Linked DNA regions of Rattus norvegicus. The protein of the gene in region 3 purifies or fractionates together with the protein of the main gene of each other region. This does not show direct contact. Links are inferred from orthologs where the notes say so. Each region holds a gene or a part of one and is shown on either strand. Other genes may lie near its edges.

Region 1 (4,192 bases), on a different chromosome or scaffold from region 3:
TCACTTTTATGTGTGCCCAATTTGCAGAAAGCGTTAAAACAATTGAATTTTATTTTATTTTTTAAGCCAAGGGAAAAATAATATAAACAAGTAAAATATAGACATTTTAAAAGTTGGTTCTTGGAGCTGGATGGCTCAATAGTTAAGAGCACTGACTGCTTTTAACCAAAGGAGATGATTGATGGTCAGTTCTCAGTACCCATATGGCAGCTCACAACTGTCTGTAATTTGAGTTCCAGGTAACCTGACACCCTCACACAGACACACATGCAGGCAGAATACCAGTATACACAACAAGAAACACATTAGGCTTTGTTGTTTTTTATTTATTTTTTTAAAAGTCATTTTGTAGGGCTGGAGAGATGGCTCAGTGGTTAAGAGCACCGACTGCTCTTCCAGAGGTCCTGAGTTCAATTCCCAGCAACCACATGGTGGCTCACAACCATCTGAAGACAGCGACAATGTACTCATATATACTAAATAAATGAAATATTTAAAAAAAAAAAAAAAGTCATTTTGTAAACTGCTCTGTGATTCTTTAGGTAAGGGTGCTTGTTTCCAAGTCTGACTACCTGAGTTTAATTCCCAGAACCCACTGCTCTCTTACCTCCATTGGTTTGCCACAACATGTGTGTCCTGTCTTCACAACAAAACGCAGTCAGATCTTACTCATTTGCTTTCTTGTGTCTAGATCAGGATAGCTTCAGACTTGCCAATGCTGCCTCTTCCTGACCAATGTCAGATGTCAGTTGTTGATTAGAATTAGTTTAGTTTTATAACTATCCCTAAGAGTCCTGCGCTTTCTTCTTAGTTGTTGATGATCTATATAGTCAATGTAATTTGCTATTTTTGTTTTATTTTTAGCTGCTGTGCCTTATTGGAGAATCTTTTGATGACTACAGTGATGACGTGTGTGGAGCTGTTGTCAATGTTAGAGCTAAAGGTGATAAGATAGCAATATGGACGACTGAATGTGAAAACAGAGATGCAGTCACACACATAGGGTGCGTTGTGCTCCCCTCCTTGCTTCCTTGACTATTTATTAACTAAATGTAGACGTCCTTTACATACATAGCTTTAGACAGTTGGATTTATAAACTTTTTATTTTCTTCGTAAATGTTTTCCTGGGGGCTGGGGATTTAGCTCAGTGGTAGAGCGCTTACCTAGGAAGCGCAAGGCCCTGGGTTCGGTCCCCAGCTCCGAAAAAAAAAAAAGAACCAAAAAAAAAAAAAATGTTTTCCTGGACACAAGTTTGGATCCTGTTAACGTTGAATGTGTTTGTCTTTTCTATTGCTGTAACATGGCTTTGCACTGGTGGTGCATGCACTGTCTAGGACAGCTTCCTCCCATACTTAGAGCCCATGTGTTTATAAGTTTCTCTGTTGAAAATTTTATTTTTTATAATTCATACACATAAGTTTTGCTAGAAGTCTCTTTGATTACATGAAAATTAGTAAAAAGCAAAATGAAGTTTGATTCTAAGTGGAATTTGCAATGAGTCATTGTTGACTTGTCATTTTTCATCTTTTAGTATTAACATTGACCTGTTAGCAGTGTTGTATTTCTTCAAAAAACAGAAATTGCTACAGAACTTTTTGTGTCAGTATTAGATGTTTTGAAGTTTTATAACTACCTAGAAGAGGCTTGTGCTTTCTAAGTTGTTGATGATCTGTATACATCTTAACTTCAGTTTTCCAAGGAAAAAGTTTTTCAATGCTTCCAGCTGACACAGTTTAACTTCTTGTTGCTGTGTGCGCGCACACGCACGCACGCGCACACACACACACACACACACACACACACACACACACACACACACACGTACATTTTTTAATAGTAAAGAGTATTTTTAAAAAAACTGTTACAATGTCATTTCATACTAATTGCCTTAAAAAAAAAACAAAAACAAAAAAACTTTGGAAGAAGTATGATTCTGCCAGGGGTAAAACTGTGGAAATGGCACTTTTGTTTTAGTTTTACTGTTTGTTTTTTGAATGTTCTGTATTATTTCTTTCTAAGATTAAAAATTAAGTTCTCTGCTCTTTTCTCAGGTTTTTGTCGGTCTTATTTTATACCCACTTACAATCTAGCCACACAGCTTTCATTTTTATAGCTTTTGTTGTTTCTTCTCAACCTTTAGATGTGTTTCATTCCCTGAAGATTAGACTGTTAACACCTCGACATCCCTCCACCCACCCACCCACTTGAAGCAGGGTCTCTGTGTACCTAGCCCTGGCTCTGTCAGAACTCACGCTGTAAACCAGAGATGTGCCTGCCTCTGCTTCCCAAGTGCTGTGATTAAAGGCGCGCACCACAATGCCCAGCCCCCTTTTGGCCTTTTAAGGAGAGATTTCTCTAATACTGCAGATGAGCTTTAGACCCTCTGAATTGTAGTTGATAGTCATATACCTAAGCCCTGTTTAGTACACATCACATTTTATTTTTAAAGTAGTCACAACTAATTTGAAAATTGGTTTGTGAAGTTGATACATAAGGCAAAATAGAATTCATATGTAAATAGAATTTTTATTTTACTTTTTGAGATAGGATCTTGCTATGTTAACCAAGCAATTGCTGTGAGCCCGTGAGCTGATTCTGATTTGCCCGTTTCTGTTTGGTATAATCGTACCTTTTTATTAGTAGTAATAATAAAGACAAACCTGGTGGGATTCCAGTTGTCTGTAACATGATTAAAGTATAGTTGTGAAAGTAAAGACTAATTTTTAATTTTGCTAGTTATACTGAAAGAAAATGAACACATTTTGATTTGCATTTTTAATGCATCGACTAATACACTACAGCTTTATAAAATGCATTTAAATCCTTTTTCTTTTTTAAAGAAATACTAATGTTTCTTGTCTCCTGTGTCTTGTAGGAGGGTATACAAGGAAAGGTTAGGACTTCCTCCGAAGATAGTGATTGGTTATCAGTCCCACGCAGACACAGCTACAAAGAGCGGCTCCACCACTAAAAATAGGTTTGTTGTTTAAGAAGACACCTTCTGAGTATCCTCACAGGAGACTGCGTCACGCAATCGAGATTGGGAGCTGAACCAAAGCCTCATCAAAGCAGAGTGGACTGCACTGAAGCTGACTCCATCCAAGTGTTGCTAAGATATAAGAGAAGTCTCATTCGCCTTTGTCTTGTACTTCTGTGTTCATTCTCCTCCCCCACCCCAATTTTTGCTAGTGTGTCCACCATCCCAATCAAAGAATTACAGTATACGTCACCCCAGAACCCACAGATGTGTTCCTGGCCCGCTCTGTAACAGCCGGGTAGAGTTACCACGACACACACTTGCCTTTCCACAGTATTCGAAAAAGAACGTGCATTTCTGTCACCTTAGCAGGAAAAGATCTGGTTTTGTTCCACTCCATGCAGGAGCGGATTTGCTGGTGTGAGAGTCTAAGTACAGCTTTCTAGCAACCTTCTGTTTTCTGTCACAGCATTGTCCTTGCTGTCCTCTTGCTGATGGCTGCTAGATGTTAATTTATTTGCTTCCCTCCTTGATAACATTAGTGATTCTGATTTCAGTTTTTCATTTGTTTTGCTTTTGTTTTTTTCCTCATGTAACATTGGTGAAGGATCCAGGACTATGACAGAAAGGTGGAATAAACATTACATTTGTGCATTCTTTGGTAATTTTTTTGTTTTTTGTAACTACAAAGCTTTGCTACAAATTTATGCATTTCATTCAAATCAGTGATCTATGTCTGTGTGATCCCTAAACATAATTGTGGACTATAAAAATGTAACACCATAATTACATTCCTAACTAGAATTAGTTGTCTGCTTTTGTATCTTTATGCTGTACTTTAACACTTTGTATTACTTAGGTTATTTTGCTTTGGTTACAATGGCTCAAGTAGAAAAGCGGTCCCATCCATATTAAGACAGTGTACAAAACTGTAAATAAAATGTGTACAGTGAATTGTCTTTTAGACAACTAGATTTGTCCTTTTATTTCTCCATCTCTAGAAGGAATCTGTACTCCATATTGCAAGGCAGTCTCTTGTGTCTTCTTAGTGTCTTCCCCATGCACAGCCTAAGTTTGGAGCACTAGTTTATTATTATGTTTATTACAATTTTTAATAAATTGAATAGGTAGTATCACATGTAATTAAACTGATGTGGCTATCTTTTTTGATAAAGTTAAGACACAGTTTTTCAGTCTTAGGTTAATAATGTACT
Region 2 (4,292 bases), on a different chromosome or scaffold from region 3:
TTCAAAACACACCTCAGGAAGCTGCACTTAGTCTATTGCACAGACATTGAGACATTTCCCTTAAATTGCTTTAGACGTGGCAAATTCAATCCTCCAAATGTACAACGGAACATGGATGTTCCTGACAATGCTTGTTTTGCTTATTCCTTAAAGGGAAAACATCTGAAGTAACTTCTATTCAAAATGCATTTATGTAAGTAATGAAATTGTATGGCTTCCTCCAGCAATGTTTCCCTGAAGGAAACATTTCTCTGCTTAAAACACACCCATCCGTAACTACACACCTCCTATGTACAAGTCATACTTAGTGGGCCAAGCTCCCTGCCTTCCACATCATTCCTTCCTCCTCGTACCAGTGCCTTGGGCAGCAGTGGCAGCATCACCGGCCTCAGCAGCAGTGCTGCTCCTTGTCACTAGGCTAGGATGGTAAGGAACGTTAGCAGCAGCTATTTTTTTTTTGAAAGATGATTTACACGATGCTAAAATCTACACTACAATTAAATGAGGACTGCCCTGAGGCATGAGCTTTTCAATCCATTTTGTTCAGGGAACCTCCACTGGGCACTGTGAAAATCAGGTGAAGTACTACCACTCTCCAGCGGTCTTTCTTTCACGAGTGACACACATACATGTTAAGTGATCTGACAACGTGAAGAACTGCTCAGATCCTAAGGGGACATGCATATGCATTAAATGACCTGACAACCATGAAGAACCGCTCAGGTCCTAAGGATCACTTTCTTGTACAACCTACAAAGCACTAATTAATCTCCAATCACCTGTACAGAAACTTGGCTGACTCTTCATGCTCATTAAGATCATGTCTTCATTTGAGTGATAACAAAAGCCCTATCATTATCAAAGTGAGAGGGCTAGTCTTGCCACTGAGACAGTTTTGTTCCGGTTACTATTTCAGGGGCTAAAATGTACTCTTCTGTTGCCCCGAATCTCTTTTAGTGATGGCTTGCTATATCCAGCCCACCTGAAACTTTACTTCTAAATGAAACAAAACTATCAACTGGGGGGAGTTGCCCTGCATTTTTGGCTTTAAACTTATCTCTGAGAAGACCCCAGTTATGTTTTGTTTGGACAACTTTCTTTCTGGAGTAACTGGGAGCAGAGAGTAACTAGTACATTTTAGGAGCCCTACACGGACATGATACATGCAAATGCTTTTCTTTCTTGCAAACATCTCTTTGTTTCATATCAGATACAACCCCTCTCACATATTTGTTTGAGAAGTTCAGAATTTACACCTTAAGTGTTCCTGACCTATCAAAGTCAGCGTTAAGACCAGCCTGCACATTTTCTCAAAAGCTCACAGGAAAAATGGGGTAGGAGTGCTGCAGAAGATACACAAGAGCTGGAGCCGCTTATTCTGGAATAGCTGGTCCTTTGGCCCTGTGGGGGTAAAAGGTTACATGCCGCTGTAGTACACTCACCTTGAGAATTTTTACAACCACCCTCTCATTGTTGGTGATGTTAATGGCCTCAAATACTTCACTATACTTGCCCCGACCAAGTTTTCGAACCAGTTGGTAATCATCTTGATTACTGTGAAAGGCAAGAGATATTGTACATAAATGCCAGGATTTGGGATTAAGCAAGCGTATGTCCACTATACATCCATCCACCAAGTCCAGCTAATCAAAGTATTCCTGACATCACACCTCGACTCATTCTCTAAATGAAAGCCACACAGAAGCTTGGCTCCCGTCATTCTGCAGAGCTCTTAACCTCACTGACTCTAAGCACAGGGAGAAAAGGCAGCTATGAGGCCTTATGAGCCCTGTTAAGTGGACTGAGCAAGGTATCCCCCTGGTAGTACTGGGGTGCCCGCCTGCCCGGGGCTCCACAGCACCTGCCTCCCATTTTACACCCTCTAGGGGGGCCATGTTCAAAATGTTCCTCCCTCCCAGCCTCATTTCAGAAAGTAAAAAGGTAGAGATTTTAACAGCTCAAGAGGACAGACATGGACTTCCCATCCCATAGGAAGCCCAAAGTGTGAGGAGGAAGGGCCGCCCCCACCCTGACCCTACGCTTCTCCCCACCGGCTGCTGAGCCGGGGACCGGGGACCGAGGCCGGGCGGACAGGAGAGGCCGGGGACACGTGCGGCCGGGGTCGGGCCTCCCTGCCAGCCCCGAGGCCGAGCGGCCGGCAAGGTGCGGTTCGCGCGGGGGGCGGCCGGCGGCGGCTTTACCCCCAGCTCGGGACGTGGGCTTCGTAGTCCCAGTACTCGCGGCTCCTCAGGCTGTTCACCTCGGCGTAGACCCGGGCCCGACTGCCCGCGGCCGGGCCGGGCATGGCGGGCGGGACCGGGGGGCGCCGCGGGGCGCCGAGGGCGGCGGCGGCGCGGCGCGGAGCGCGGGGCGGCAGGCGCGGGAAGCGGCGGGCCGCGGACCGCCCGAGCAGGAGGAGGAGCGCGGCGGCGGCGGGCGTCCGCGCCAGGCCGGGCCCGCGGGGGCGGGCGGACGGACGGACGCTCGGGCCGGGGGCGCGGGAGGCGCCGGCCAAGCCGGCCCGGGGCCTTCGGCAGCCGGCGGGACGGCGGGGTTCGTGCTCCGCGGCGGCCTCCGCTCGGCTCGCGGCCCCCAGAGGCGGTGGTGGCGGCAGCGGCAGCGGCAGCGGCAGCCACCGGCCGGGAGAGGGGCAGCGGCGGCGGCGGCGGCGAAGAGGGAGGAGGAGGAGGCGGAGGAAACCCGGAAAAGGGGCCGAGCTCGCCAGGAGCGGCCACCGCCCAGCCCCAGCCCGCCCCTGCCCACAGCGCCCCCTACAGTGCCGGGGGACTGTGGCCGGCGCCCGCCCCCTCAGCGATCTCGCCACCCGCCAAGCAGAGTGGTAGTCTGCCTGCCCACCCGCAGGTCACCCCTTAGGAGCCCTTGCCCTCGACTAGCGCCGCTTTTAGCATCGCCCCTCAGTCCAGTCACCTCGTGTCAACCACCAAGACCTCCTATACTGGCCCTGAGCTGATTTGCTTTAAACCCAAGAATCCTCACCTCAAACTGTCTCCCTTCCTCACTCCTCTTTCCCCCTCTAGACTCCACCCTGCTATCCACAGATTTCCCCGCCTTCAACCCCAAGAGGCAGAGAACTTCCATGCAGAACCAGTCTACTACTAGATCTACCCTATCCTCTCAGTTCCCCGTCCAATTCCCCTGGTAGCCCACTGAGTCATCTTTTAGGCTACTTGGTTAAACTAGAGTCCGCTGGGTAGTTTCCCCATAAAATTATTGGTTTTTTTTCCCTTTGTATTGAACCAGTCGTTTGTGGGACATAATTTAAGACTGTAAATATGCATTTTTGTTTATTTGTTTGAGAGGAGGGAGAACTGGGGAGTGAGGAGTTCGGCCTCGAAGGAGAGACTAAGGGTTGGTGAACATACAAGCTTTGAACAGTCTTTGATTTCCTGGGGTCCCTGACTATCTTGTTCTCCTGTCCATATTTTTTTTTTCACACCAGAAGAGGGCATTGGATCCCAATACAGATGGTTGTGAGCCACCATGTGGTTGCTGGGAGTTGAACTCAGGACCTCTGGAAGAGCTGTCAGTGCTCTTAACCTCTGAGCCATCTCTCCAGCCCCCTCCTGTCCATTTCTTTATCAACAAGGATCTCCTCTCCCAACCCAGGTTGTTCTGACTTCTAATTACCCCCACCACTGTTTTCTAGATGAGACCATGTTCCCTCTTTATATACCTAACTATCCGGGTTCAAGTCCCAGTTCCGTAGCTTACAAGTGATGCTGATTTGAGCCAATGACCCAACGTCTCTGTGCTTCAAATTTTGTAGCATCAACCCAGCACCTATGTCACAGAGCTATGCAGAGACTTAAACCATGTAAAGTGGGAGTGCTCAATATTAAAACACTACATGTTCATGCTGCTATTAAACGCTATCACCTTTCTTTCCCTGAGAGCATCACATGTCCATCTTCAGTTCCTTCTTCTCTCTGAGCTTGGCCAGGGGGTACCTCTGCCACCCCACAAATGACTGGCTTTTTTTTTCAACTCCTTAAAGGCCACTTTCTCTGAAGTTGATACTTCTCTCAATGACTCATCCACTTGACATGAGTTCTCTCCTGGTTTACCATCTGTCCCCTTCCTGTGAAAACAATTTGAAGGCATGGCTTGGGCTGGGTGGTCACCACCAGGTCACTCAGTGCCTGCTGTAGCTGGAGGCCTTCAATCAACATGGTGCTACTGCCCCACAGATATCATGCTGGTTACAAAGGGGACCCTGAAGGTCAGATGCAGGGACGAACTGACCTGTGTGATTCATGGAGAAAGGACACACC
Region 3 (4,292 bases):
CTTTAGTCCCAGCATTCAGAGGGGCAGAGCCAAGCAGATCTCTGAGTTCTAGGGCAGTCAGGGCCACACACAGAAACCTTGTCTCAAAAAAAAAGAAAGAAAGAAAGTAAAAAGAACCTCTATACTTCTTACTCTGAGAAGGATCATGAGTTTCCTCTGGTCTTCTGAATAAAACTAAAACATTGGTTCACAGGGTTTGAGTCTGCTGGCTCTCAGAATTGAACCAATACTTGCTGCCTGAAGATCATAAAACACTCATTTTTCATAATCACAAATGCTTTTTTTTTATTTTCTTAATTGTGTATGCGTGTATCTATGATTAGGAATGTACGTACACGTGAGTGCAATTCCTGTAGAGGTCAGAAGAGGGCATAGGTTCCTCTGGAACTAGAGTCGTGGGTACGTGGATAGCTCTCTCTCTCTCTCTCTCTCTCTCTCTCTCTCTCTCTCTCTCTCTCTCAGAGCCATCCCTCCACTGCCAAAATTTTTTATAGCATAAAGGTTTTTTTTAAAGATTTGTTTATTACTTATTCATTCATTCATTCACTGGCTATGAATACATTCTCACTCTCTTCAGACACACCAGAAGGGGACATCATGTGGATGCTGGGAATTGAACTCAGGACCTTTGGAAGAGCAGTCAGTGTTCTTAACCACTGAGCCATCTCTCCAGCTCCAGCAGAGGCATCTTAATAATCAGTTCCTGCCCCTGCTTACAGATCTATCCTTTCTTTTGATCATGCTATCTAGCCACCAAATCCTTTCCTTAAATGTACTAGGCTTGCTCTCATTCACTTTAAGTCCTCTGCACTAACTGTTCACTCCACCAGAAGGGCTCTCCCTCCAAAACCGCAAATAATAGCTGGCTGCCTGCTTTCTTCAAGTCTCCACCCCAGCTTGATACCTTCACTGTGACCTAACCTAAACTTTCACAACTTTTCTGCCTTCATAACCTCCACTGATCATTTCTTTCTCATAGCACGGTTAAATAATGATGATGGTGGTGGTGGTGGTGGTGGTGGTGGTGGTGGTGGTGGTGGTGGTGGTGGTGGTGGTGGTGGTGGTGGCGGCAAGGAATACGATGATTACTATCATAGCATTTTCTAACATAGGATTTACTTTATCCTTTTCTTTCCCCCAAGAGAATGCAACCCTTTGTTGTTTAGTTCACCTGTATACCCAAGTACCTAAAAAAGAGCCTGGTGCATACTAAACATTTAAATTGTTGAATGAATATGCCTTCCTAGTGATACCTTATGAAGCCATCACAAAGAAAGCACTATGCATGGGCATTCAGGAAGCAGAGATAAGGAGAGCTCCAGCCAGCGTGGACTGCGGAGTAAATTATGAATCCAAAATTCAATTGACTGATTGACTAATAAGTTAAATGGATGCAACAATGAATCTCCTTTAAGACTGATATTTAATATCCAATTTAAGCCTAAAACAAGAATTGAGACTTTTACACTACTCTGTGCCGCCACCTGGTGGCAATTGTGTAGATTGCTAGTTGCTTCCTCCCCACCCCCAGGAGGTCCCAAAGTTACTAGGAACTACTTTAGCTTACTACATACTGAGTGCGCATCGGACAGAAATTAAAGCGCACACAGATCACTAAACTTTACAACCAGCCGGAAATTCCAATGCCCAATAGTGAGCAAGATATGGGTCACGTGGTACAAATTTAGCCAATCAAGGTTCTAATACTACCAACTCACGCCCTTCCGTTCTAGCCTCTCTCTTTCTCGGCAAGATGGCATCCCCAGCCGTACCGGCTAGTGTCCCTCCCGCCACTGCAGCCGCAGCCCCGGCGCCGGCCGTCACCTCAGCCCCGGCTTCAGCCCCGACCCCACCCACGCCAGCTCCAGCACAGGCTGCGACTCCCGCTGCGGCACCGGCTCCCGTCTCGTCTGATCCTGCTGTAGCTACGCCTGCAGCTCCGGGCCAGACCTCAACCTCCACGCCAGCCCCTGCGCAGACGCCGGCGCCCTCGCAGCCCGGGCCGGCCCTCCCGGGGCCTTTTCCTGGCGGCCGCGTGGTCAGGCTACATCCAGTCATTTTGGCCTCGATCGTGGACAGCTATGAACGCCGCAACGAGGGAGCTGCCCGAGTTATCGGAACCCTGCTGGGTAAGTTCTGGAGAAATTAATATTTTCTTCAGTCCATCTTCCTCCTATTCTCGTTCATCGTCCTTGAATTCTTATCCTGTTTATCTTGTTGCACCTTCTTGCTGTGGCTTGCCTTCCCAAATGATTTGAATCCTGCCGAATTTCAGTTAAGCCACAGGCATGTGCAAGGAATACGTATGAGCGATTGCATAGTTTGCGATAATTGAGCTACATATTATTTTATATTCCCAAGAGTGAGATAAAGAGAGGGCATGCTGCCAAAAACGAAGGCCCAAATGCCAGCAAATTCAAAGCCCTTGACCTGTTTAAACACAGAACCCACATTTCCCTCTTATCCACTGACCTACCGCCACCCCAACACACACAGATCGTACCCACCACCCACGTTAGGGAAGAGGATGTGTCAAAAGCTTCCTCCAGTTCACCAAAAAAAACAGGTTATTTCGAAACATATTCTGGATATATAGCTTGTTTTCCTGAACTTTTCAGACAAACGCTTGTCCCAAGGTCTTCTCACATACTGGTTCCTAGAGAAAATCCTATATATGCATTAGGGGGATATTGACCTGGAAACCAGGAAAGGGAATAACATTTGAAATGTAAATAAGAAATACCCAATTTAATAAAGATGGGGGGACCTATATATGCTCAGCTCCAAGTTCCTGCTCATGCACACTCGAGCACACACACACACACACTACCTCCCTCTCACTCTCCTTTGATTTCCATTTGGACACAAACTGTTGTGTTTACAATCATGATTCCATGTTTACAATCATTGCTAACCTTCAAGATGAAGAGTAATCTTTTCTTTGCCTGTATTACAGATTTGGGGAAGTGGTTTATGTTTAAGTAGCTTGTAAACTTGAAAAGCACTAAACACTGTTGAATATCATTCTCTGGGGACTTCTGAGCCTATCAGCCTTGTTTCCTCTCTGCCTCGGTGACAGCTTTTAGACATTGCAGTCCACTCTAGTTGTACCCATCATCTCTTACTGGTGGTCTTCTAGCAGGCCATGCACCGTAGAAGATGATCCAAGAACTGTAGGGAGGACAGGGGTTGTAGTCACACTCCAGCAGTTACTAGCTTTGTGTCCCCTGACAAATCACCGTCAGAGCCTTGTTTAGCAGGCAGGTTTTTGCTTGTTTTTGTTTTGTTTTCCAAGGGCAGCAGACATTTTTTAAAATTTTTATTTTATGTTCATTGGTGTTTTGCTTGCATGTATGCCTAAAGGTGCCAGATCCCCTAGAACTGGAGCTACAGACAGTTACGAGCCACCATGTGGGTGTTGGGAATTGAACCCAGGTCCTCTGGAAGAGCAGCCAGTGCTTTCCACCACTGAGCCATCTCTCCAGCCCCAGCAGACAGTTTTTGTGAGAATGAAATATTATAGCAAGTAGTTAATGGCTGGCATACCTCAGGTACAGCAACTGTTGGTCATCCTCTGTCACATAGGAGACCATACCATACATTCCCTTGTCTTTGACAGAGTAGGCGTTTACAGGAACTTAGAGTTAATACCTTGTCTTTTTATCAGAACACACTTGCATTTTCTTTGCCACATATCTTTCCTGCTCTTCATTTTATTTCAGTCCAGAACTCTAATCTCAGTGTCTCTGTAGTTGTAACCTTTAACCGTATATTGGCATTCTGTAACTGCCCTACTGTGAGCTTCTGTAACAAAAGAATTTTGTATCGGGGACTTGCCACATAACAAATACTTTGAATTTGCTATCTAATTTCCAGTCTCTGGAGCTGTTTAATTAAAGAAATAAATGTCTACCCAAGGTTTATGTTGACCCTGTTTTATCGTAGGACGGCTGTAGTGTATGGTTCTCTATCAGGCTGAGACCCACTCACTGCTCCCACTGTTACAGAACAGTTACTGGTAGAAAAACAAATGAAGCAGTATGTGCTTGGTAGAAGCTTAGACTTTCTTGGTTCTTAATTTGTAAAAGATTTTGTGTGGTTAAATGAAATCATCGTTGAGTTTCATGCGTCATAGAGTTGTTAGGTACTTAGAATTTAAAATTAGTCAAAGGAATTCTGCTGTAACCTTAAACTCGAGATGGAAACACAGTCCCTGTAAGTAACTACTGTACACAGGATAAGCATTCTGCTTGCAGGTACCTGTGGAAACGTAGATGTAACTACTTAGAAGG

The links.
Region 1: the proteins of Eif3f (region 3) and Eif4e purify together in Homo sapiens (affinity purification with mass spectrometry; 3 studies listed by BioGRID and IntAct, with this or other methods). This does not show direct contact. The link is inferred for Rattus norvegicus from reciprocal best matches to the Homo sapiens genes EIF3F and EIF4E.
Region 2: the proteins of Eif3f (region 3) and Csnk2a2 purify together in Homo sapiens (affinity purification with mass spectrometry; 3 studies listed by BioGRID and IntAct, with this or other methods). This does not show direct contact. The link is inferred for Rattus norvegicus from reciprocal best matches to the Homo sapiens genes EIF3F and CSNK2A2.

Annotation. Positions count from the first base shown.
Region 1 is NC_086020.1:229,767,935-229,772,126, forward strand, and holds part of Eif4e (eukaryotic translation initiation factor 4E), read left to right. Parts: intron 1-864; coding exon 865-1,004; intron 1,005-2,876; coding exon 2,877-2,991; 3' UTR 2,992-4,192. UniProt on the Homo sapiens protein: Acts in the cytoplasm to initiate and regulate protein synthesis and is required in the nucleus for export of a subset of mRNAs from the nucleus to the cytoplasm which promotes processes such as RNA capping, processing and splicing.
Region 2 is NC_086037.1:9,560,729-9,565,020, reverse strand, and holds the start of Csnk2a2 (casein kinase II subunit alpha'), read right to left. Parts: upstream 2,682-4,292; 5' UTR 2,306-2,681; coding exon 2,202-2,305; intron 2,195-2,201; exon of another isoform or gene 2,052-2,194; intron 1,555-2,051; coding exon 1,443-1,554; intron 1-1,442.
Region 3 is NC_086019.1:172,367,333-172,371,624, forward strand, and holds the start of Eif3f (eukaryotic translation initiation factor 3 subunit F), read left to right. Parts: upstream 1-1,729; 5' UTR 1,730-1,753; coding exon 1,754-2,129; intron 2,130-4,292. UniProt on the Homo sapiens protein: Component of the eukaryotic translation initiation factor 3 (eIF-3) complex, which is required for several steps in the initiation of protein synthesis.